Lonchura striata: one gene and its partner. The protein of the gene in region 1 interacts with the protein of each later gene in a biochemical or structural test. Links are inferred from orthologs where the notes say so. Each region holds a gene or a part of one and is shown on either strand. Other genes may lie near its edges.

Region 1 (11,919 bases):
TGCCATTCAGCACGAAAGCCATGAGGTGCACTGCATTCCACGTTACTTAAGCAAGAAACAGAGTGCGGCAGAGATTCTCAAAATTGTTGAGAATAAACAATTAAAAAAAAAAGCCAAACTGGCTGTTTCCCAGTAGGCATCAAGAAAACCTGGGGAGCTATAGCACCAAGTCCTTCACCATCCTGCAGAATCACAGGAGAGTTAACTTCATCAGCATGGATCTAGGTCCTTTTTGCCTTCATGAGGTTAGAGGTATGGTTAGCAGAACCCCTCTATACTTTCAGGACTTTAAACATAAAGACCTACTGAATTTTAGTTTTAGGTTGGCTTCTCCTTTTCAGTACATACCTTCATCATTTGCTCGGACTGGGCCAGAGAATGCTCAGATTTTGTAGTGTTAATGAAGCTTGGTTTTCTTACCATACACTTGTATGCAATCTGAAAAAAATGTATGCCTCACAATTACCCACAACTGGACTGCTGGAACAGTGCACACTTTCATTTCTCTCTATAAAAGTGAGCTGAGGAGTCAGCCTTGCTGGACATGCATCCAGGAACTGTGGGTTCTAGCAATTCCAAGTTTCTTTTTTTTTTTTTTTTTTCTATTTTCATAATACTTAGTGTTTTCCATGTTATTCCTGTTTCTGTGAACTTCATTCCATTATTAAACTTTGCCTTCTTTTCAGTGCTGGTATAGGAAGAACTGGATGTTTTATTGCCACATCCATTGGTTGTCAGCAGTTAAAGGAAGAGGGAGTTGTAGATGCATTGAGCATTGTCTGCCAGCTACGAGTGGATCGGTGAGTTCCAAAAGAACAACAAATCAGTCAATGATTCTGAAATCATTACCAAAATGATTTGGTAATGATCAGAAATGATTCTGTAATGATTCTGAAAACATTTCCACAGTTGAATGTTACTTTACATTAAATGGCTGCCATTGCTTGTGATGACTTTTATGATCACATTAACTGAATAATCAAGGTAACATATGTATTTAGGTCCTGAATAAGGAATCATATTGTTTTCTGGGTGAAACTTCCATTGAATGAAATTCCCCTGAAATGACAACCATGTAGTTGCTGGGCACTTGCAACGTATATTTTCCTCCACTAAAATTTTCTGTTTGCTGTCTGCATCATCCCATTGGGACACAAGAGAGGTGAGGCAATCTGGAGACAAGGGATTTTCTTTGAGCCTGGGTTGACAAAGAAATTCAGGCTCACTGAATGTGTAGCTTCTTTGAGCACTGGAGAAAGACAAATCTGGTGCTGTTGCTATTTCCTCAGCTGTGCTGGGGGTCCGTTTGAATTGAGTTGGCAAATTTACCCAGCCTAAGAAAATACCAAGGGATTTGTTCCAGACTTTTCTGAAGTCAGATCAATTCCCTGACTGAATTCACAGCTTGGGAGCAGGAACAGTGTAAGCCAATATTGTTGCAGAGTGCTTTGTTTTGTGAAACCATGGCTGAAGAGGGATTTGTGTTTTACAGGAGGATGTGGGTATTGTGCACAATGGAAACTGTTGGTTGGGTTGTACTTTTCTTTCTTATTCTGCTTGGAAAAACAGGATTTTGTACAAAGCAAATAGACAGGATTGCACCAAGAATAGAGGAATCTCCTCTCCTGCTGTAGGTACAGGTCATAAATTGTTTATTCTCATTGCAAGTATCCTAACTGCTTCTGACATGCATGTCTTCTTTAAATGAAAAAAAAAATACATAGGGTGCAAATGCTGAAAAGGATCTTAGGTTTAATACAGAATTTTTTGTGTTGTGAAGAGCTCTGAAAGGTACTGGAACTGTGAAGTACAGAAAGACCAGAATCCATACAGTTGACTGTGTTTATGGGTCATCTCCCCTGCCTTCCCCTCCCGTATGACTGCATCATACTCAACATTGTAATATGATCTTTACAGGGCAACATGAGCCACTTGGAGTGTAAAATTCTCCAAGGGGAGTTATTGACCTAAAAATCTCAGCAAAAAAATAAGAAGGAATAGCTGAGGGAAAAATGCTTACTCTGTTTTAAATTACCAACTACAAATTTCCAAACCTCTTTTCTGAATAGCTGTCTTATTGAGAAAGGTATGAAGAGTTCTTCCCCATTTTAGTATTTCTATTATGAAAGAATCTTTTTATCATTGCTTTTAAAGCAAACTCTGGTCTTAGCTGCCTCTTTTAATATCCCTATTTCAGACACAAAAAACAATCCAGATTTTCAGCATTATTGACTGACAACACAATTTTGTTGAGAGGATCTGCCTAATGAACTTTCTTTTACATATTAGTATCCTAGATAAATTTGGAAAGAGAATGGAAATCTGGCTATCTACTCAAAATATCGGTCCAGGATGTAAATACAGCCATGGTCTGCATGAGTTTGTAAAAAGACAGACTCACAGGTCTACTCAGCTTGCTTTCATTCCCAGTTCATTTTTTATATTTTGCAACAGAAACAGGAAATATTTGATGTGAGGCATCTTCAAGACTTACTGTGACATCGAGAAACTTTGCACATTCTTAACCTTAAAGGCACATTCTTGGAATGACATCCGATAACTTTGCTCTTGGCTCCTCAGACAGGATGAAAAGAGTTTCCAGTGTGCGTCAATTCATTGTTTAAGTGTTTTGACTAATGGCCTCAGGTTAAAAAAAAATAATCCCAAACCCTGCATCACATTCATTCTGGAGCAGACTGCATGCAGCTGCACTAGCAGCAAGCCAGAGGGCAGGGTAAAGGACCTTTTATACACTCACTGCTACCCAAGCAAAGATGGTCACAGTCCCTGAGCCCTCAGGATACCAGGTTCTGTTTCTTCCAAGCACTAGCCCAAAGAGTCTCAAAGAAGCAGAGAGCCCAGTAGCTCACAGAGTAGCTGGCAGTGAGGACTAGCAAATAGACAAAGGCTGCACATTCACAGGTGCTGTAGCTGTGGCTACATCCCTTCTAGGCACTAGGGACACAGGAGAGGAAACCTCCCTCCTTGAGCAAATTTCCTCCTGAAATGCTCTTCCACACAAACATTTCCACAAACCAATGTCTTGGGATCACAGATAATTCCCTGCTATGAAATGTGAGCCTTGCATAAGAATGAAGTTAAGAAGGACTTGGGATAGGTAAATGAAAAATTGGGCATGAGCTGGCAGTGTACACTTACAGCCCAGAAAGCCAAGTGTACCTTGGACTGCATCTAAAGCCGTGTGGCCAGCAGGTCCATGGAGGGGACTGTGCCCCTCTGCTTTGCTCTGGTGAAACCCTGCCTGGAGAGCTGCATCCAGCTCTGGGCTCCCCAGGACAAAAAAGGCATGGGCCTGCTACAGTGGATCCAGAGAAGGGACATGAAAATGGTTAGAGGGACAGAACACCTCTCCTATGAAGAAAGTCTGAGAGGTGAGACTGTTCATCCTGAAAAAGGATCTGGGGATATGTTTTTGCTGCCTTTCAGTATGAAAGAGGCTTATGGGAAAGACAGAGAAAGCCTTTCTACCAGGGTCTGCAATGATAGGACAAGAGATAATGACTTTAAACTTAGAAAGAGTAAATAGAGATTAGATATTAGGAAGAAATTCTTTACCTTCCTATCCCTAGAAGTATTTAAAGCCAGGTTGGATGGGGTTCTGAACAACCTCATCTTAAGGGAAGGTATCCCTGTCCATGGCAGGGGTTTGGTACTAGGTGGTCTTTAAGATCCCTACCAATCCAAACCATTTTGTGGTACTATGGCTCAGTAAATCCCATGTATAATGGCACTGACAAGGCTAAGTTGTCAAAACCACTGAATAAGACTCATATGCCCTTAAGCTGACAGACATATGGACTGTTAGTCCATACAAGGTTCAGAAGCATCATAACCTCTGAATTGCTAACACAGGTCAGATGCCATGATGCTGGGTTCAGCCCCCATAGTCTTACACACACTTTCCTGGGGTTTTGTGTGTTGCTTCAGCACTGATCACCATCACAAACAGCCTAGTGCAGCCAGAATTGTTTTAACCTGCCCTTTGTAGAAAGTTCTTCTCCCTGGATATGTTCCCTTCCCCCACCCTTCTACACAGCACATCTAACCTGGGAAGTGCACTCCCTTAGAGAACATCTTGGGGGAACATTGATGAGGAAGGCAGGGAGGGAAGCTGTTTGCGAAGGAGCTGCGTGGGCAGAGCAGGATGCAGCAGCAAGGAGGAAGGAAGGAGACTAGGCAGCACAGAAGACTAGAGCAAAGCCCTCCCATCACCTTTAATATCTCGCTTCATCTCCAGGCAGGGGACAAGCACAGAGGAAAGCAGCTGAAGGCAAAAGGCAGCCAAGAGTTGTAAATTTGTGGATGCCTTTGTTGGCAAAGCTATGAGTGTTTCATTTTGGGTTGGGTGGGACCATTTAAGGACCTGTGACTTTATTCCTAGGAATAGCAAAATAGGCTCACCAGAAGATGTTCTATATTTGCATGAGCTCAATGGAGGAACGCAGACCACTGTCACTTGCTTAAAGAAGTAGATACTATTTTAATTATTATTTTCCTGCCATAGCCATTTAGCCATCCAGAAGCACTGAAGAAAATTAAAGGGCCTTGTGGTTGTAGATGACCTTCTCTAATTCTGAAGGACAATGCTTGTTGAGGAAGTTTTACTTACCATTTTTCAAATAGCTTAGTATATCAGTACTATATTTGTTGTTAGGGATCTCATGAGATTTTCAGACCTGCTCCTGCAAGATATCTGGCTCCAACAGTGCTCTGGATCCAAATACCTTGCAAATTTAAATGTTTCAATTAAGATCTAACTGAAGCTAGATGTGATATGTATCTTAATGTCTTCATTCTCACTAAAGCCATTTAGTCTTTCATCATCCCAAAGGGATGCTAGCTAGCTGCTGGCTGCTCCATGGTACACTGAGGATGAACTAAGGGCTTGTTTCTAGAAGCAGAGTAGATAGCTTTGAATACCCTGGCAGATGAGATAACAGGAGTGGAATTAAGTAAACTTGAGGCCTTGCTTCATGAGAAGGGAGACCTCAAGTACCTCAGTATTGACAGAAAGACTCAGTTTAATTTCAGAGCTTAATGATAACACTCCTATCACATCTGCCTCCTGTAAGACATCCCCTTCCTTCCACACTGTAACTGGTACTGGAGATGTGAGACTTGATCCTCATACTTAGACCTGAAAAATTGATTGTTATCAGGTGAATGTATAAAAAGTAAGCATTTCATCCAAGCTGGCTGCAACTAGTTCTTTGTATGGTTAGGTTAAACTCTTTTGCATTGTTGGTGGTGAAATGATTCACCACTGTAAAATTTTGTAGGTGGTGGCTGTTCAGACAGGATGCATTGTAGGCGTTAGAAAGAGGACAGGAAGAGCTGTTCTCTGCACAGGCCATCTGCAGGTCACAGAAGGTTACATTTTTAGTAAAGGACAGAAATGAAAGGCCAGATTCTGTATACTTCCTTGCTCCATCAGTGGTAATGCTGCATCCATGTCTCTGGCCTTCCATGCCCATGTGATTGAGCAAAATTCTCTTTTAACATACTGAATTTGAAATGTAGGTTTTAACACTGTAGATGCCAGATGCTTTCTTCTCTAATTCTTACTCTGATGGAACTGGGAATTTTTCATGTGGGGCATGTGCTGTATGGCATAAGTTATAAGGAATGTAATTCTTCTCTGACAAATATCTTCCACTTACTCAAGCAAACTGTAAGTCAAAAACTAAGAAAGGGCTTGTGTCATCTGGTGGTCATGGGGCTGGCAGGAGCTAGAGGGTATTGCAGTCTTAAGAAATAAGATTTCAGTGCAGTTTTTTTCCTTTCCAGGGGTGGAATGGTTCAGACCAGCGAGCAGTATGAATTTGTGCACCATGCACTGAGTCTGTATGAAAGAAGACTTTCTGCAGAAGCTGTCCAGTGAAGCTGAGGAGGGTAAAACCAAATATCAGTCTCTTGAGGTAATTTATTTCATTACCTACCAGCAGCTTCTTCAAGGCGTTTACTGCAGTAGGAAAGACGGCTTTGAGGCCAGCTTCTGAAAAGATTGTGGACGGTTTGGCAAAAGTACAGAGATTGCTGGACCCTTACTATGTATGAATGTATTGTGAGCTTCCCAAAAATGATTTATAAAGAAGGTACTGTACTGAAACTACACATGGATTTTGTCTATGTATCTAAAGGTGGGTTTAATTCTGTAATGCTGATATCTGCCATATGGAATGTATGTATGTGCTCCTGCTACAGTCAGATGGACATTGGGACTTCTACAGAAGAAATATTTAACAAGTGTATAAAAGCTTTGACGTTTTGCAAACTGTCTTGTGAATGGACTGTCAACTGTACTGTAAAGTGCTATTACTGATTATGTGGTGAGCTTGTTCCTTGGCCACATAATATTCTTGCTGCTAAAATTGCAAGTGTTCAACTATGGATTTAAAAAAGGAGATAATAATTTTTTTTTTAATCTTGCTTTTGAAAATATTCAAAAGCAGTTAATATTTTATATGGAAATATATGTTCTTCATCCTATTAACTATTAAATGTGTACTTACTGTAGGTCTTACAGAGCAGTTGCAGAGCACAATGTCTGTTATTCAGTGTATATGTATTTACCCTAAACTGTTGATTGTCTTAGAACACGCTTCTGCTACAGACCTGAATCCAGTGTATTTGTAAATTGTGTAAGTCATTCTACTTTTAAAAGAAACTTTGTAGCATATATTAAATGGTAAGGATTTTAAATATTTGTCTGTCTTTTGTTAATACAGAAATTTTTGCATATGTTGTTTATCTGGTCTATTTCTTTCAGTAAGAGATAGATACCTTTAGTGATATGGACTCTTCCATGACAGGTTATACAAGAAAGAAAATGCTGCTATGACTGTTTCCTTTATTGCTCAGTAAAAGTTTGTTTTTAAGAGATACACGAAGTTGGCATTATGGCTTACAGCACTGGGAGATCTGTTTACAGGGTGTAATGATTTTTAATGCAGTGATGTTGACTTCGCTTCATACTGCTAATAAACAACCCTAAATATAAAATATTAACTGAAGTGTCTGTTCTTGCCTAGAGTAATTAATGCACATACACTCTTGTACCCCTATAAACAGGCTCAGCCCAGCACAATTTGGTCAGCCTGCACCATGGCTTCTGACCACTTGGGAACCAATCCAGAGGGCACAGGCAATCCCCAGCTGACATGGAGCAAGGTGTACCACCTGATGGGAAGGCAAACCCAGCATCACTTGATTCCTCAGGGGGAGTTTCTGTAAGACTTGCTACAGATGGCAGAGCTTTGCCTCCTCCTCTTTCCCTTCCTCCCCACCCTCCACTTGGCTTTTAGAACTTGTGGAGTTAGAAATATACTGAGATTTTGCTTGATTGTGTAGAGTTACAAAAAATACATGTTTTTTCCTGAATAATATAGAATATACTTAGTCAGCACCTGTAGATTTGTAATAGTTCACATGCAACAAATAACACAAAAGTATGATCCCCTTTCTTTTAGTCTAAAGAAATTCAACAAAATCTCTTTTAATTTCCCAGGTGTTTGAAAACTTCTCTTTTGCTTGTATTTTTCCAAAATAAACCAACTAGTAAAGTGAAGAATCATATTAAAAGGACAAAGTACTGTAAAACCCCCCTAAACAATTGAATAGAAGGAAGTGCTCGTCACTGACTTTTTCCCCCGTGAAGGCACATTTCCTTCCTAGCCTTCGCTTCACTTATCTGAGGTGGGTTTTTTTAAGAGAAGCATGGGGAGTTGTTAGAGGGAAAATGGATTCTTTATTTCACGTCCTGGTTTCTACCTGTCTTGCCTTGGCATTCTCAGGTAAGTGTCTCTCCCCACTTCCCCTCTGCCAAATTGCTCTTTCTGCCACTGAGCAGAGCCCTCCGGCACAGCCAGTGACTTACAGAAACCAAGTCACCTCTACTCTGGGCTTCGTACCAGAGGAATGAGGGGCAGGGCCAACACAGCCCATTCTGTTTAGATTCCTTTCCAAAGGAAAATAAACTGTCTTCTTCTATGCTGGAGATACATCTTCTTTTTTTAAGATCTCCTGATAGACAATCCAGGAGCTGAGTTTTTGGGATAAATGCTTCAGACAGGAGATTCCTATCTTTTATTCATACTTCATTAAATTTCAGATACAAGAACTTTCTGTAATGCTTAGCTAGAAAATTACCAGGTCTGTAAAAACAGGGGAATGACAACATCAATTGAGGGAAATAAATGCACATTTGGTTTAGCACTTTGTAACTAATGGGGCTGGAAATGTCTGAGTAACTGCGACTAAAAACAACGAACAACCTAAACACAATATGGCAAGGAGGCTGCATTTGAAATAACCAATTCTGCATTCTGTTACAAGTATGTGTTTTGCATTGGTAGCTTTGTGGGGTTTTGATTAATGCTCTGTAATTTTCTTCATTTGAGTAGCTGGTGTTGATCTTTAAGTGTGGTGACACAGAGAGCTAATCTTACGTGAATTGGAATCGTCACAAAGCTAACAGCTATAGAGACATTGGAATAAATCCAGTAAAACAGATGTGCTTCCTATCAGTAAAGAACCCCCATTCCTGTAACACAGACATTGAGAGACACATAGATCTGTGAATATCCTCCTATATGTTTCCCTTAGAAACATTATGAACTTTACTAAAACAACTTTTAGGCAGGAAATTATATTTTTAAAAGTCTGTGTTGTAAAACTGAAACAGAGACTGAGAATGCATGTAGATCTGTTTGCTTTCCAGCAGGGGAAATGAGGAACTGATGTTTGAAGTTAATAATTCTTGGACTTCTTTTATATCCAGTTTAATTTTTTCTTATTTTTATATATAATGCATGTCAAGAGAACCTTGCCACAATAGCTTGGGGTTTTGCATTTTTCTTATTTACATTACCAGCACATGCATCACATAAGTGTTGTGTTTGGAAGGTTTTTTAAAATAGGTTCAACTTATGGGAAATTTCATTAAATGTTCAACACACAGAAAATGGGAAGAAAGATTTATTTGCTCAGTTATTTTAAATCATTGAGAATTTGCTTTTTGTCAAGTAAAAGTGTAAATCAATCATATTTTTCTGGAATTTTCTTTTTCCAGAAGGGTTTCTGATTATCCATGTCCAGAAACAGCAGTGTCTTTCAGAAAAGAGAGGAGTCATTATGGAAAAGTGCAATATGACCAGCCTGAATCAGAAGTGGCAGTGGATGGCAGATGACAGGCTCCTCCATGTGAAGTCTGCCCAGTGCCTGAGCATCTCTACACGCCCTGCTCTGTCATCTCGCAGTGTCATCATTGATTGTCCCCAGGCAGTCAGGTGGAATTGCCACGAGGATGGGCTCCTGAAGGTGGCCAACAGCTCCCTTTTCCTCACAAAACAAGGTCAGAAGGTAATGGCCAAGCGGAGTAAAAAATACCTTCATACGTGGATGCAGCTAAAAGCCAGCGAGACAGGAAAACCTGTTTATGTAAATCTGTGCTCAAAGCAAGGTGAGTTTTTCCTTCAAGAAAATATCCTGGGAGTTTTGGTAACAAAAATGTCTGTTATGCTAACTCAAATGTGAAAAATTATGATATTTTATTCATACAGAAGAATGTTTTTCACAGTTGAAAAACATTTTGAGAACTATTAAAGAACAGCTGAGACTAGTGCTGTCTTTCTCACAACTGTTGTTTTTAATCCACTTTATATTTTTAGGATGTCTCTCCTTTTGTCTACTCCCAATCTTTGGATCAATGTGCTTATATATGTAACCTCAGGTCACTAACATTGTGTCATTTCCTTTTTCCATTTCTAAACTATGGGTGCTGATTCCTAGTACTTTTCAAAAATGTGGATGCAAAGAAGTTCTCCTCCCCATTCATTTTATCATACAAATCCAGATTCAATCTGTCAAGGGCAAGAAGACATCTGAAAATCCAACACATGCACAATTATTTCTCTGATTAACCTAAATGCATAATTCGAACAGTCATGGCTAGCACATTTGCATGTTTATTCAGTGTAATTTTGATCTTAGATGCCATATATATGAGAACACTCAAAATCTTGAGATTAATGAGTTGAACAAAAAGTCTCAGAAATTCTTGGAATAGTACCTTGAAATGCAAAGGTCTGTGCACATATCTACAGACATGTAGCAGTATATCTGTGTAGTTGTGGGTTACTATATCCATGGCAAAATGGAAGGTACAGTGGTTTGAATATTGCTTGATAATGCTTTCTTCAATGTCCCATTGTCAATCCTTCCTGGCAAACTTGTTAATACTGTTCTTGTGCACTACTAAGTAATTCTTCATAGTAAATAAGAACAACCTACAGGCATCTTTTTACTGTCAATTCTTGTCTTTACAGGGTTAAAAATCAGTTTTGTGACTTAAAACTGTTGCATATGTTCAAGTTTTAAGAATGTTTAAACCAAATCCTCATCCTTTCTGAACTCCTAGTTATTGTAAGGCAGAGTATAATTTTTTTCAGCAAATTTGCACTTGAAGAACTCTATTCATAGGACCAGGACTACTCATCTGAGTGGATGTATGAAAGGATAGCTTGCAGAATCGGGAAATGAAAAAGTGTCCATGATGCCATCCCAGCCCTCCCATATATGTTAGAAATTAAACAGGCAAAATCATTTTAAGTCCCTGGGGGTGTGTATGGCTTGCATATTCAAAGACACTAGGAACAGTTCAGATGAGGTGCACAGGTAGTGTGCTGGATGGAGTGTGGCCTAACCAAGTTAAAGTAACCTTACACACTTTTCTTAATCATCCTAAGAGAAGAAGCAATTTAAGACCAATAAGCACTAAGACAATTGTCATGGCATATTAAAGCACCTTCTCATCTGTTTACTGTTCTCAGTTCTTAAATTAATTTACCTTGATTTTCCTGAAATTCTCTCCATATTCAGGCCTGCAAATCCTTTCTAAGAGTGTTACTTGCCTTATTTTTGACAGGTCTGGGAAGTTCTGCTGAAAAATCAACAAAACACTATAATCCTCAATACCTAACTAAGAATTTTAGGAATATAGGAATATAAAGTGGAAGCAGTGCAAAGAGATTAATTTTTCAAATAGTAGTAAGTACTATGAGAGCAATATCTAATACCCCCAATTCTGATCATAGCATCCATATGCATGTCAAAATCTTCAATGCTAAATGTGTAACGTTAGTCTTCCAAGAACATCTATCTGCTTTCAATACAAGCAGAAGTGGATCTGCCTAAAATAACATATTTGGTCTATATTTATCTAGTATAGAAAAAAATGAACAAAATCTTTGGAGTTTTTCTACTCCTGACTAAGACCACATTTTGTTATAATTTACCCTCTATTTTCACAGTACTCATAAAAAGAGTTTTATTTTGGCATAGGACTAGCTTACTGAATTGCATCTCAAACATCACCCAGATAGAGTACAAGCTCCAAAACCAATAGCTGCAAGTACCTTTTATTCTGGACCTTACTCAAATATCAAACATTATTTTTCTGAGCCTGGGGAAAGTCTGAGCTTGGATTTGGATTTCAAATCAGCCATCTGAGATGTGTTTGGATTTACATGTTTTGTAACAGTCCTGATCTAAATGACTGTTTGTGGAAACCAGGATCAATTTGGGAATGTAGCCCATCTCTGCTCACTCAGAGGTAATTCCAAATCTAGCAGGAAACAGTCCTTCTCACACAAAATCAAGTTTGAATCACTCTCTAATTGAAACAGCTAAAATGAAGAATGGTCATAAAGCAACAGAGAAAGTGAGACTTCATTTCCCACCAAATTCATGAAGACATTCTGGGCAGAGAGAGAAAAATCTCTGTAATGCTAAAGCCTGCTTTTCACCAGCCCACTGTTGGGTTCAGAGCTTCTAAGCTCAGAAACCAGGAATAGAAACAGGCAAGAGGAAAAGATGGGGCAGGTGAAGAGATAGAGTCAG
Region 2 (12,029 bases), about 6.9 Mb from region 1:
CTTGAAAGATTTCAAGGAGAGAAAGTGCACAACTTCTCTAAGTAACCAGTTCCAATGCTTGACTGAACATATAAACATCCCTCTTTGATTTTTACAAACAAATTTAATTTAGCACCTGGTAAGCTGAAGTGCATTACTTATATTTTATGGAAAAGAAAACCAATTTCATGTGACTCTAATGCAGCAGTAAATTCAAGTCCATGTCTAACAACTCGACTACTGGCTTAACTAGGAATGACTAATAGTAACACTTCTGTTCAGCTCTTGATGAACTGGAGAAAATTTAACTGTCTATAGTAAAATAGGATGTTTCCAATAAAGCTATAAAAAGATCACTTATCTGATGACTAATCCTGATCTCTGTCTCCAAGCTAACTCATTTGCATGGGACCAACATATAATCTATCTGCTATGTGTCAATTATAAAAACATTACATAAATAAAAGCATAGGACTTGTCAAATATGTATCTTTCTATATCTTCATTTTAAAACACTCTATCACATTAATTATTCTGTCTGTAGCACTAACCATAGCTCGATCATCCCATATTTCAGACACAAGAGCTACTAAGTTATTGCAAATATGATTTTACCACATCCAAAATACTACCTTATGTAAACAAAACTACTATGGTGCAGTGGAAACTCCACCAGTTTTATCCAGATCTCAATTCAGTGAGATGTTTACATCATCTTTTTGTAAGTATTTGTCTCAAGAGGTTGTAGAAAATCCTTGAGAAAAAATGAAAGAAATTAGTATGAATACAAACAAAACCAAAATAATCTGCTATTTTATTTGCCAGCACAGAGCCCTTCAAAACTTAGCTGAGTTAAGCAAAAACACAGGATGCTACAGTCAGATTTGCTGATTTCTCTGCATAAATAGGATTACTGAGGTTGCTTGGTATTTCTGTAGTTTACTACTACTTGCAACTTTGTCAAAGTGTCCTGTGTGTCCTTGCTTTCTGCCAATGCATATCAAACACACATGAGCCACATAGAAAAATTTAAGATTTCAATTTTTAAAAAGAAACAATGAAGAAAAGCCAAAAAATTTTTCTTCAAAAAATGTTTGTAGTCACAAACTGCAATGGCTTGAAGCCATCAACATAGACAGGCTTTGAGTTAATGCTATACTCTTTCATTTTCTCTGAAAATATAACAAAGACCAACCAACTTTTAAGAAGAAGTACTGTGTTGTTTCAGTGGAAAAGAACAAAAGCCACCTTACAGTCTCTGAAGAATAAAAATTGAGACCAATGTCTGCTAAAAGCACAGAAAAAATGACTGGAGACTGCTGAAAAGAGACTAGACTGGGCTGACATAGCAAATCAGGATGAGGAGGCTCCAAGGAATAAGGGAAAGGTAATGGAAGGAAACCTGACAGGAAAAAAGCAAGGATACAGGACTGGATGAGATATGAAACCAAAATCTGGAATGGTCAAGACCAGAGATACTTAAAACACTGAGACCAGCTACAAGATGACAAAGGTGCTGTCATTAGGATACATATAAATGATGAAGTGAAAAGGACTGTGCTTGCAGAAGTCTAGCAAAAGAGCCCTCATGCACCACAACACAGTGGTGCCTACAGTGCAAAGGACTTCAGTCTTGCACCACTTTCCCACTACCCAAGCAAATACACTACAAGTTACACTATTCTGTTTTATCACTGCTGTAAATAAAAGGGACTGCACTCTTATAATATCACTCATGATGGTAAAAGTTCAGGAGTTTTTTGCAAAGGATTAAACTTTTCTGATTCTTTTTGTAACCACTGTAGGTCCAATACAGTAAAAAAATAAGAAATTTACTTAAAAAATTGAAATTTTTCATCTTTTTCTTGATTTGTTGTTTGTAGGCTTCTTTGTTTTGTGTTTTTTTTAATTCCCTATAATTTAATTTTCTAGGTTTTAAGAACATTTATGGGACATGTATGCATATTTTACTTCACAAACAATACAAAAGAACATTATTATGGTTACTAAATCAAGCACTCAAAAGGTGTAAAATGACAAATTGTTGTCTGTGCAACCATAATTAACTTCCCTTGAGTTTGTTTGGTTTTTTACAATATACTTAAATAGGCATGTGCTTCTTATTCAAAGTTACCTTGCCACTGAAGATGATACAGAACTTAAAGCAGGTAGGATCTCTTGTTTTATCTACTGAAGAACTGAGCTTGCAGAAAGAAAAAGGGACAGGGGCTGTATAATATGCCACAAAGACTTTAATGGCTAACATTCTCTCGATCATAGTTTTACTCGTTTCCCTTACTGTCACCCAGCAAACCATTTAACCTAAAACTTCCATAGTTTGTAATTAACTGTAAATTCCTCTTTTTCCCCATTTACTGTGCAGATACACTCACAGAAGTGGAGCAGTCAGGACTGTTACAAAAAGCAGTAGCAGGTATAACTTCAGGAAACATATTTAAAATAATTATAGAAATTTCAAACTGGACACCAAAAATGAGTGAATACTTTTCACCTAACCCTCTTTGTGCTTTTCTTCACCATCTGTAGAAGTGTCCTCTCACCTTAGGTAGTGTTTGATAAACTACTAGTACTTTGTAGGGCATTCTGATCACATACTGATAAGCCCTTTAGCAAAGATCACACAGATGTTATCAGTTCTGTCTTCAAAGCAGAGCTGAGTAACACTGAATAAATAAATCATGGGCTCACACAATGATCAATGAAAAATACTGAATTCTCTTAAGTGAGCTCCACCTATCCCATGCAGTGAAAGACAGGATTCCAGTGGAAAAAAAAATAGTATGTGATCATGTAATTAAGACTGTATAAGAAGTACATGCTCAAAAGGCACTTTAAAACCTCTTTTCCATAACCTTAATAACAAGGGATTTCTCTACAAAAGGTGTTTAAGACAGACACTCAATTTAAAATTCTATAAATTCAAGTAGGTTCTTGCTTTACCATGAAGTTGTGTTGAGGTTGCATTACTTTTTAGCACCACTTAAAAGTGAAACTGGAAATCTCTTGCTGGTTTAGAACAGCATTGTGGATAGTACAAATATAGACCAGGACAGAAGTGTTTTACCTAGGCTATTTTTACTTTTTGCAAAATTTAGAGATAGTAAAGATCTATTTTTTTATAATGTTAACTATTGCTAAAGACAAAAACTAAGCAACTGATAGCATATAACATACATTTGAATGCAAACGACCAAACAAAAGATTAATACTACCAACAGTTTTCAGAAACATTAAGGTGAGTTCTTATTAAAGAAATTTTGGTGCATCATCATTTATAGAAGAACATGGACCAAAGATCATCCTTTCACAGAGATCTTTACAGTATTTGCACTACAAGGACATTCAGAAGTAACTAATCATAGATTAAAAAAAACTGCGAATTTTTATAACTTCAAGTTATTTCAGAAAGCTTCCCCTGTTTTACGTAATTTCAAGGCCTGTGCTCATGACTTTTAGTGGTTTACAAGTAATACTATATAAAAGAGTGAAACTAAGTAATATATTTGTTAGTAACTTCTTTGATACAGCTACCGCTGCACAGGTGGCTGAATTTTAAAGGCGTATTTTTCCCTAAATTGTGCAGCCTAATAATTACATAATGGCTTATTTTTTAAACGTTAACAAACCCTTTTTAATGTGCTTTAACATAACTGTATTATAATACTGTTATGTAACTATGACTATGCTAGAATGTAACACTCGAAAACATTCCCAGCTCAGAGGTCACACTTTACTTTCATTACTAAATGGAGCATAGTTGATTAATTTCATAGATAATCTCCCGTAGATTTCATAAACAGAATTAAACAGCGCTTCATAGAGCAGCTGCAATTCCGAAAGAGCCGAGGTGCAGCTCGGGCGCGGCACCCCGGGGCAGGCTCAGCCCTTCCAGGTGCCTTTAGCGGAGCCCAGCAATGGCATCTCTGCCCTCGCCAGCAGGTTACTGCAGCCGCTCCGAATTACTGACATTTACGGAAACGCCGCACTGAAAAAAAGGCATTATTAGCATTTTACAAGGAGACAACAAAGTGAAACGCTATCATTTTTACTGCAAGAAGGTGCACTGAAAAGAGGAAAAAAAAAAAAAGCCAAACCAAAAACCAACACCCTTTTCAGGCCGACACCACTAAACACACCCAACACGCAGATAAATCGGCGTACGGCGCAAGGCTGCGGCTGCTCCGGCACACAGACCGTGGTGCTGAAATGATGCGCTGGAAGACCACGGCAGGGACGCGTTTTCACACGCGCTGCCAAAATCCATACGTGTGCCGTAGGAAACGGAGGGGAAACCGCGCACGAGGCTTTCCCTGCGGCAGCATCCCGCTCCCTCGCCAGCCAGCATCCCCCCCCGAGCCCACGACCGGCGGGGACAGCACTCGCCGGGGATTACCCGGGGCGGGCGGCCCGCTTTCGGCAGCCCGGGGTGCCGAGTAATCCCCTGCCCAGCGGGCAGGCGCCCCGGGAGAGGGCGGCTTCCCCGTGCCCGCCCCGCTTCCCGGGCCGGGAAAGGGCCGCCGCCCCCGGCCGCCGCAAAGCAGCGCTCCCACGCGGGGCCGTGGCGGGCTCTGGGCTGCCCCGCCGCCCCGCACCTGCCCCAGCTCCCCGCGTTCCCCGGGCCGCACCGCCGGAGTAGCGACCCCCGCCGCTGAGGGGACCCTCCCGGGCGGTCCCCGTCCCTAGGACCGCGCGGTGCCGGGGGCCGCGCGCCGCTGCGTCCGTGCCGCTCGAACGCGGGACCGCGCTGCGCTGCGGGGGCCGAGCGAGCCCTGCCCTACCTGCCGCACGGCCGGGCTGTCACCCCGCGCCGTCCGCACCTCCGCCGCGCACCGGGCACGTCTGGGCCGGCGCTGCCCGGCCGGCGCGGCTGGCTCGGCTCGGCTCGGCGCGTCCTTGCCCGGCTCGGCAGCGCTGACAGCCGCCCGCGCGCCCCCGCCCCGGCCGCGCGCGGGGCCGCCGGGGCCGAGCGGGGCCGAGCGGGGCGCGGGAGCGGCGGCGGCTGATTGGACGGGGGTGATGTCACTCGTGCGCGCGCGAGCGGGCGGGAGCGCGCGCGAGCGGGGCGGTGAGGCGGAGCGGGCGCGAGCGGGAGCGGGTGCTCGTGAGCCCCGTCCCCGGGGCGCGGGCGGAGAGCGCGGTGGAACCGCGCGGCGACAGCGGCGCGAGGGGTGCCCCGCGGCCGGGGCGCGCCCCGGCCGGCAGCCGGGATGAGAGGGACCCCTGCAGAGCGGGAGGCGCGGAGGTGATCGGGGCCGGGGGCGAAGGGGGCTCGGCATCCCTCCGTCCGCGCCCGTCCCGCGGGCCGTGACACGTGCCTGCAGGTGGAACGGCTGCCCGCGCTGTCCAGGCAGCCTGCGCGGCACCGGCTGCTGCGCTCGCAGAGACACACGGACTCACAGACACCCAGACACAGGCGCCGACTGATGCAGGCACAGCCGCGCGGGCACAGGCGTGCACGCTGCACATGCCCAAAGGGCGGTGAAGCCCGAGTTAAGCTGCTGCCCCTACCCCCGAGCGTGGCTCTCAACCGCCAGCATCCACGGACCCCGTCAAAGAGGCGGGATAGACCGCAAGGGTGCAGCTGGGCAGGAGTCGTGATGCTCGGAGCCCCCGAGGGATGTGCTCGTCAAGGCCAGCTTCAAACTTTCAATCCATACCCCCCTCACAAACTAGGAGAATGATTTTGAAATGACACGATTTGTCTTCAGCCTCAATTTATTTTCTGAACTTTTCATCTTCTATGTAGGAACGTATTTCTTAATTCTTTTTCATTACCACAAAGACTAGCTGTTTATTTTTGAAGCATCTATTTGTCCCTTGAGCCCAAGTCTTATGGTGTTTTCCACATTATAAGTTGCAGAAATCAAAACTCCCAGAGGGAAAAAAAAGGATAAATCTGGGGCTTGCTGCATACCCCCTTGTAGAAAGCAAACAGGTCCAGAAAAGTGGAGACACGATAGTGGATAGAAGATTCATGAGCTGCCAAATTTGTGAAGACTGCTGCAGGAAGGGCTCATGAGGGACAGAAGATGGAACCTAAATATTTTGAGACACGAGTTCACCCTGTATATGAAATGCAATTTTTGATGGCAGCAGGAGCTGCAACCATGACACTTTATATTTACAGAGAGTGACAGATCAGACAGTTACTAGCAGGCACAGCAGAAATAACACATGACTAGGTTGCACTACCTGCATGACAGTAACGACCAGAGAGTGAAAAACTTCAGCAAGTCCAAGACCCTGAGACTCCTTGATTCTTCATGATCAATCCTTATGGAGTAACACCAAAGCAACATGCATTTCCCCCTATTGAAAAATCAGGTTTCTGCAGTTCCTTTATTCCCCCAACACGTGAAGTAAGGAGGGGAGGACTGCTTCACTTACAGCTGTCATCTTGGGTAGTTCTCACATGTCTGAGAGGATTTGAACTCTAAAACGCAAGAGAGCACTGACTTTGCAGCTTTACTGTTTGCTGATTGCACCAAATACGGTTATGTCAATTTCAGTGAGCTCATCCTCTCACAACTGTATGGATCAGAAGCTTGCTCAAGAATAAAAAAGATGGTTCATAAAAACCCCAACCCAATAGATTTTCATTTAATCATTCCAGAATTGGAGGTTTAGATATGGGTCTTTAATTCCTGTGTCTTAATCCAATACTGACAATTGTGTGTATACACAAACATTCAGAAGAGGAGAAGAGCTGGCACTGTTGGTGTGCTCTCTAAGAAACAGGGACAGAGATAATATGCAAGAAAATTGGGTGGTAGGAAAACTGCAGGAAAAAAATGGGAACTAAAGACTGGACAGTGTATTAAGCTAAACAGGATAGATTATGCATATTGGCACAGTATATAGTCATGAAACAGAAGGCATTTGAAGTATTAGTGAGCTTTGAATCTCTGGCACAGACCTCACACAAACGTCAGTTTTTAGACCTTAACTGCTTTCTTGTGGTGAGGACTATAAAATAGTTTCAGCCCTTGCTAGGATTTAGAGCAGCCTTACAACTGCTCTGAATAGCGTTGGTTGTTCATTGCCTCAGGCTGCATTTGCTGCTAGAAGCTGTAAAACACAAAGCTCTAGGACGAGTTGGTGAAGAAGTGCTGTGGCCTGTCCCCTCTGATGTACAGCACGGGCTGCTATATATCTGCCACTGTGCATTTAACACTTGCAGTACTCTCTGAAGGATGATCCTCCCTAATATTCAGTAATTTCAGTTAATGATTTCATTGCCAGAAGTTAAGATGGCTGTCTCACACATTTTGAAGCAGGGTATTTTTTTACTTAAATATACCAGTGGGTGTCTCTGCACTGCACAGAACGTCTCTGTCTCTCCCTTTGCTTGATTCAAATGTCCTTTGCCAGAGTCAGGGAGTCAGTAAAGCAAAACAGGAACAGAAGACATGCTAAAAGCAGAAACAGAGTGCTTTCATCACGCTGTGCATTTATAATCATCAGCTGCTCGTTATTCTGTAACACTTTCCCTACAATCAATGTATATTTTAGTTCATATACATACCTACATCCCTGGGTACTTGATTCCAGTGAGGAATTTGCTCCCTAGAAAGAGTCAAAAGTCATTTGGATCCAAACATAAGGATGAAATAGACATAGCTTCAGCCTGCAGCACTTATGGAGGGACAGCAACCACTGACCTCACTTAATATTTTTACAACACTCCTAGCATCCACCATGGGAGGAAGAGGGAGGGGGAAGGGAAAATGAAACAGGGACAACAGCTTTCTCTTATTGTAATAAAATGGAGACAGAGGCCAGCATAAGCTTTATATACCCCTACCCAGTCCCAGCAATCTTTCAGAGGATTAATGAGATTAGAAGCCTCTATTCTTTTGCTAATGGCTGTTTATTTGAAAAATTACTTTTCTTGTAAACATACAGGAATGGCCATATGTTACTCCATACTCCAGTGCTGCCTTGGGATACTACTAAAAAAAAAAAAAAAGAGAATGAATATCATGTTCCAACTGCAAATTTTACAAAAAACAATTAATTTGCTCTTCAACTCTTTGTCTATGGAGTCTTACCTGGTTGAGGGCAATGTATTAAAATAGATTAAGACTATTCCTTTGAAGAATCTTGCTGTAGCTTATGCTGCTGAAAGAAGGCTAACAATCCACTTTAAAATCCATGGTTATTTGAATTCCACATGTATATTTGAAGAGATAATTTGAACTCTGGCTATACCCAAGCCTGTCATCCATGAAATTGACACATGCAAGTTCCTTTTCATTGCTTCCAAATGTTGCAAAATATTTCCCATGATATTAAATATTTTCACATGAAAGGAAGTTTTAGAGTCAGACTTAACTGAGCTGAACACTATTTTTGTTGAATTCAAAGCTTTTCAGAGTGAATGAAACATATCAGGAAGGTAATTTTAATTATAGAGCTTAAAATAGAACATACGGCAAAGACTTAAGGTTGAAATTAGATTCTGTATCATATGAGTTTATTCTCAATACCTTGAAGTTTAATCATTGAGGCTATTATTTCCTATGCCTGATCTCTTTCATGAATCAAATGTGTCTGGAAAATGATTCAGACATTTTCGAGGATGCTAAAGGATAAAATTCAATACTTGAAATGGGAAACAACTTTTTTAGCCATTCTTGTAATGGGAATACTGTCCCTATATCCCTTCTCAGAAGAGATTAAGAACTTGAGGTCTGGCAAAAAAAAAAAAGTAGCTTAGAGCTCAGACAGGTTTTTCTGTACAAACAAAAACATTAATATCTGACAAAGAACTGGAGCAGGAGAGAAATTAAGAGGATGACATCGTGATAATATATTTACAATCTGTTGATCACTGACTGGTACCATATGCTCTGAATACCGGTCCAACTTTGGTCATTAGGTTGCTGTTGTAAGATGCACTGGAGTTTGTTTAAGAAGCAGTCACCTGTGTCATGGGTTGGGTGAATATAAAATTAGATTTTCCTCTCAGCAGGCAGATCTGTCAATCTACCCACAAATGAAAATATTAGCTTTTGCTTTAAATACTTTTCTTTATGAGCTATTACCAGGATACCACAGCACAGGCAACTCATGCGCAACTTCAGAGAAGCAGAAATTGCTCAGATTCTCTGCAGAGTCAAAAGTACAATCTCTCACCAGTCCAGTCCATATTCCATGGATGCATATAGCAAGATGCATAGACACAGGCTTCTCACTGCAAAGCAAAGGACAAAACCAAACCAAACATTTTTACAAAGTAGATTTTGTGGCCCTGTATCAGCCATTTCTCACACATGATGTTGATTCTATTGATTACTGTTGATGCCCATAGTTGTGCACTTAACCCAGGTGATAGACCATCATCTCATGAGCATAAAATTCTGCACTTTACTGACCGTTTCATATACAGGGGAGATATTTCAGTTTTATATGTGAATATTTGCATAAATATTATGGAAAAAGAGTACTAGTACTTATTGCTGTTACAAGTCTTTAAGAGGTATTGTGTTACCATCATTTTCTCAACCTAATCTTTTTTCTCACCCTAATCTTATGCATTAGAATTTTGCAAGGGCTTTGGTGGTTTTCTTCTAAGAATTCATGTCTCATTCACTATAAAAAGTGAATATATGTAATACAGCATCTCTGTAATACTTCTTTGTGTCTGAAACAATCAACTGATTCAGGAATAATTTGCAGCTAAGTGGTGCTAAGTTAGAATTCCTCTTCTTTTTTCATTGTGACCATGAGTGCATTTCCTGATGTTCTCCAAGGTTCCCATCTTCAAAACCTTTCTTCCAAAAATACAGGTATGACAAGATTTTAGTATCTTCATTTCAGTATATGCATTTAAGATACAAAATGACATAGGGAAATTACTAAATAAATTGCAAATATCTCAGAGGCTAGATGCCCTGTTTTTTTCAGAAATGCTAAACATTTTCCATATTATTTATAGGCAAGGGAGAAGGTAGATAAGATTACCTAAAGTCAGGCCTGAAACTGGCACTTCAAGCTGGTTGAATGGAGAATAAAGAGCACATCTACTGTTGTTGAAAATAAAAATGACTGACGTGGCTTGCACAGTTACACATGGACTGTGAGAGATATGAAGCTTAGTATCTGTCTTGATAACTTCTTTTAAGCACTTTCTGCTATTGAAATCATGCTGCAGTGTAAGGTTTTCAAAAGAAAATACACCTATTTCAAAGAAAGTCACTTCATTCAAAATTCAGTAACAATACAAACATAACATCTTTACTTTGGACTCGATTTTTTGTGTTCTTTCAGCATCATTTAGTGTGGGTTATATATAATGCATATTTCTATGTCACTTTTTATTTGCTTTTTAAAATAAAATATTCATCAGCCATACAAAAATAAAGAAATAATTTACTTCAAAGAAAAGGAATTTCTTTACAGCAGGGTTCAGAATATCTGTAGAGGCTACAGCATGCTCCAGTTTTCTGAACAGTATTAAACAATTCTTTGATGATATTTTAAGAAGCTCTTCTAGAAGGAGAATTTCTGATGGAAAACTTAGTCAAAGGAGGTGCCTGTGTATTATATACTTAGCACTAATACCAGATGCTTTCCCCTAAGGTGTGGCAGATGCCTTGGACTTCTAGTACAATTGTATTTGCACTAGCCTGCTAGTCATTGCTTATTAGCAATGTGGGATTTAACCTCCTTTTCCTAAATCTTATCTGAAATCTGCCTGACAGGACAAGATACAGAAGCCAATACAGCCCTGCCTGATTGTGGGAGGAAACAGGAGAAAGATTAGTGCTAAAAATTGTATGTCCACTGTTATCTCTGCTGTTAGTTACCATCAAGGTTAGTAGCGGGTGGCTTCTTTGTCACTGCCATTGTCTTCAGCTGGGGCATATCGGCATGTCTGTGTCAAGGCTGGAATGCTGCAGTGCTTGGAAAACTATTCTGAGAAGATCTTGCTGTTCAAGTGTCTAAAATAACCAATATATTAGCTCAGCAATAAAGACACAGCCAAGCTTACTGCTTGCTGACACATTTGCCCGTTGATCACCAGTACAGGAGATAAGGTGTATCAAAATGATGTATTGGAACAGCATCAAAATTTATCACCAAAGACTACCACCATCTTCACTTAGTTTTAATTCTTATTAAGCAGAACAGCCCTGCTTAAATATCACATTTTCTCTGTATCTTTGTTTTCTTAATATCCTGTTTTAGGTAGCCTAACCTCATCTTTATTGGCTTCAAAAGTTGTACTACAGCTGTTCTTTCCTTGTGTCCTGATAAGATTAGGCATTGTGTGGATGCCATGGTGAGCCTTTATGTGACAATGTAGATGCTGAAAAGAATGCTTTAGCCCTACAGCTACAACATGAGGGACACAGAAATCTGTCACATGCCTGCTAGTGCTAATGAAAAGGCTACAACCTGAAACAGATACAGATACAGATAGATACAGATACAGATACAGATACAGATACAGATACAGATACAGATACAGATAGATGATATAGAGAGAGATGATATTGAGATAGATAGAGGCATGTATGCGTGTTCCTGTGTACAAATGGATTTAGAACAATTTTCACCTGGAAGAAAATAATAAAAAGGACTATGTCCTAATTTTCATCCAATAAAATCTTTTTTTTTGAACTCCAAAAAAGTCTTTAATCTTCTCAACTAAAAATGACTATAAACTTAATGTAAAGAATTCTCATGGGACTGATGCAAATTGGTTGCTCAGTAGTTGAGATATTCTAATAAAAGACTAATCTTTAAACTCAACCAGAAACTTCCACGTCAAAAGATTATACTTTTTTCACTCATGTTTTTTCAAGCAAGGTATTTTTCTTCTAAAAGGACACAAAAGTAGAGAAATAAGCGGAGAGGTAATAAAAGGCTCCAGTGAAGTTCCTTGGTGGTTTGGTCAGATTTGTGCTTAGCAGATAAAATACTTCAGGGGACAAAAACTCCCCACAATCACAGTTGACAATTAATGCCTCTCTAGTTCCTAACATTTTTGTGACTAATCACAACAAACTGCATCCTTACAC

What was found.
Region 2: the proteins of PTPRB (region 1) and CNTN1 form a complex in vitro, tested with the Homo sapiens proteins (2 studies listed by BioGRID). The link is inferred for Lonchura striata from reciprocal best matches to the Homo sapiens genes PTPRB and CNTN1.

What each region holds. Positions count from the first base shown.
Region 1 is NC_134607.1:45,025,950-45,037,868, reverse strand, and holds the start of PTPRB (receptor-type tyrosine-protein phosphatase beta), read left to right. Parts: upstream 1-7,130; 5' UTR 7,131-7,759; coding exon 7,760-7,814; intron 7,815-9,091; coding exon 9,092-9,481; intron 9,482-11,919. Other genes in the region: PTPRR (receptor-type tyrosine-protein phosphatase R), read left to right, coding at 687-800, 5,809-5,902. UniProt on the Homo sapiens protein: Plays an important role in blood vessel remodeling and angiogenesis. Not necessary for the initial formation of blood vessels, but is essential for their maintenance and remodeling. Can induce dephosphorylation of TEK/TIE2, CDH5/VE-cadherin and KDR/VEGFR-2.
Region 2 is NC_134607.1:38,100,989-38,113,017, reverse strand, and holds the start of CNTN1 (contactin-1), read right to left. Parts: upstream 4,897-12,029; 5' UTR 4,779-4,896; intron 1-4,778. UniProt on the Homo sapiens protein: Contactins mediate cell surface interactions during nervous system development.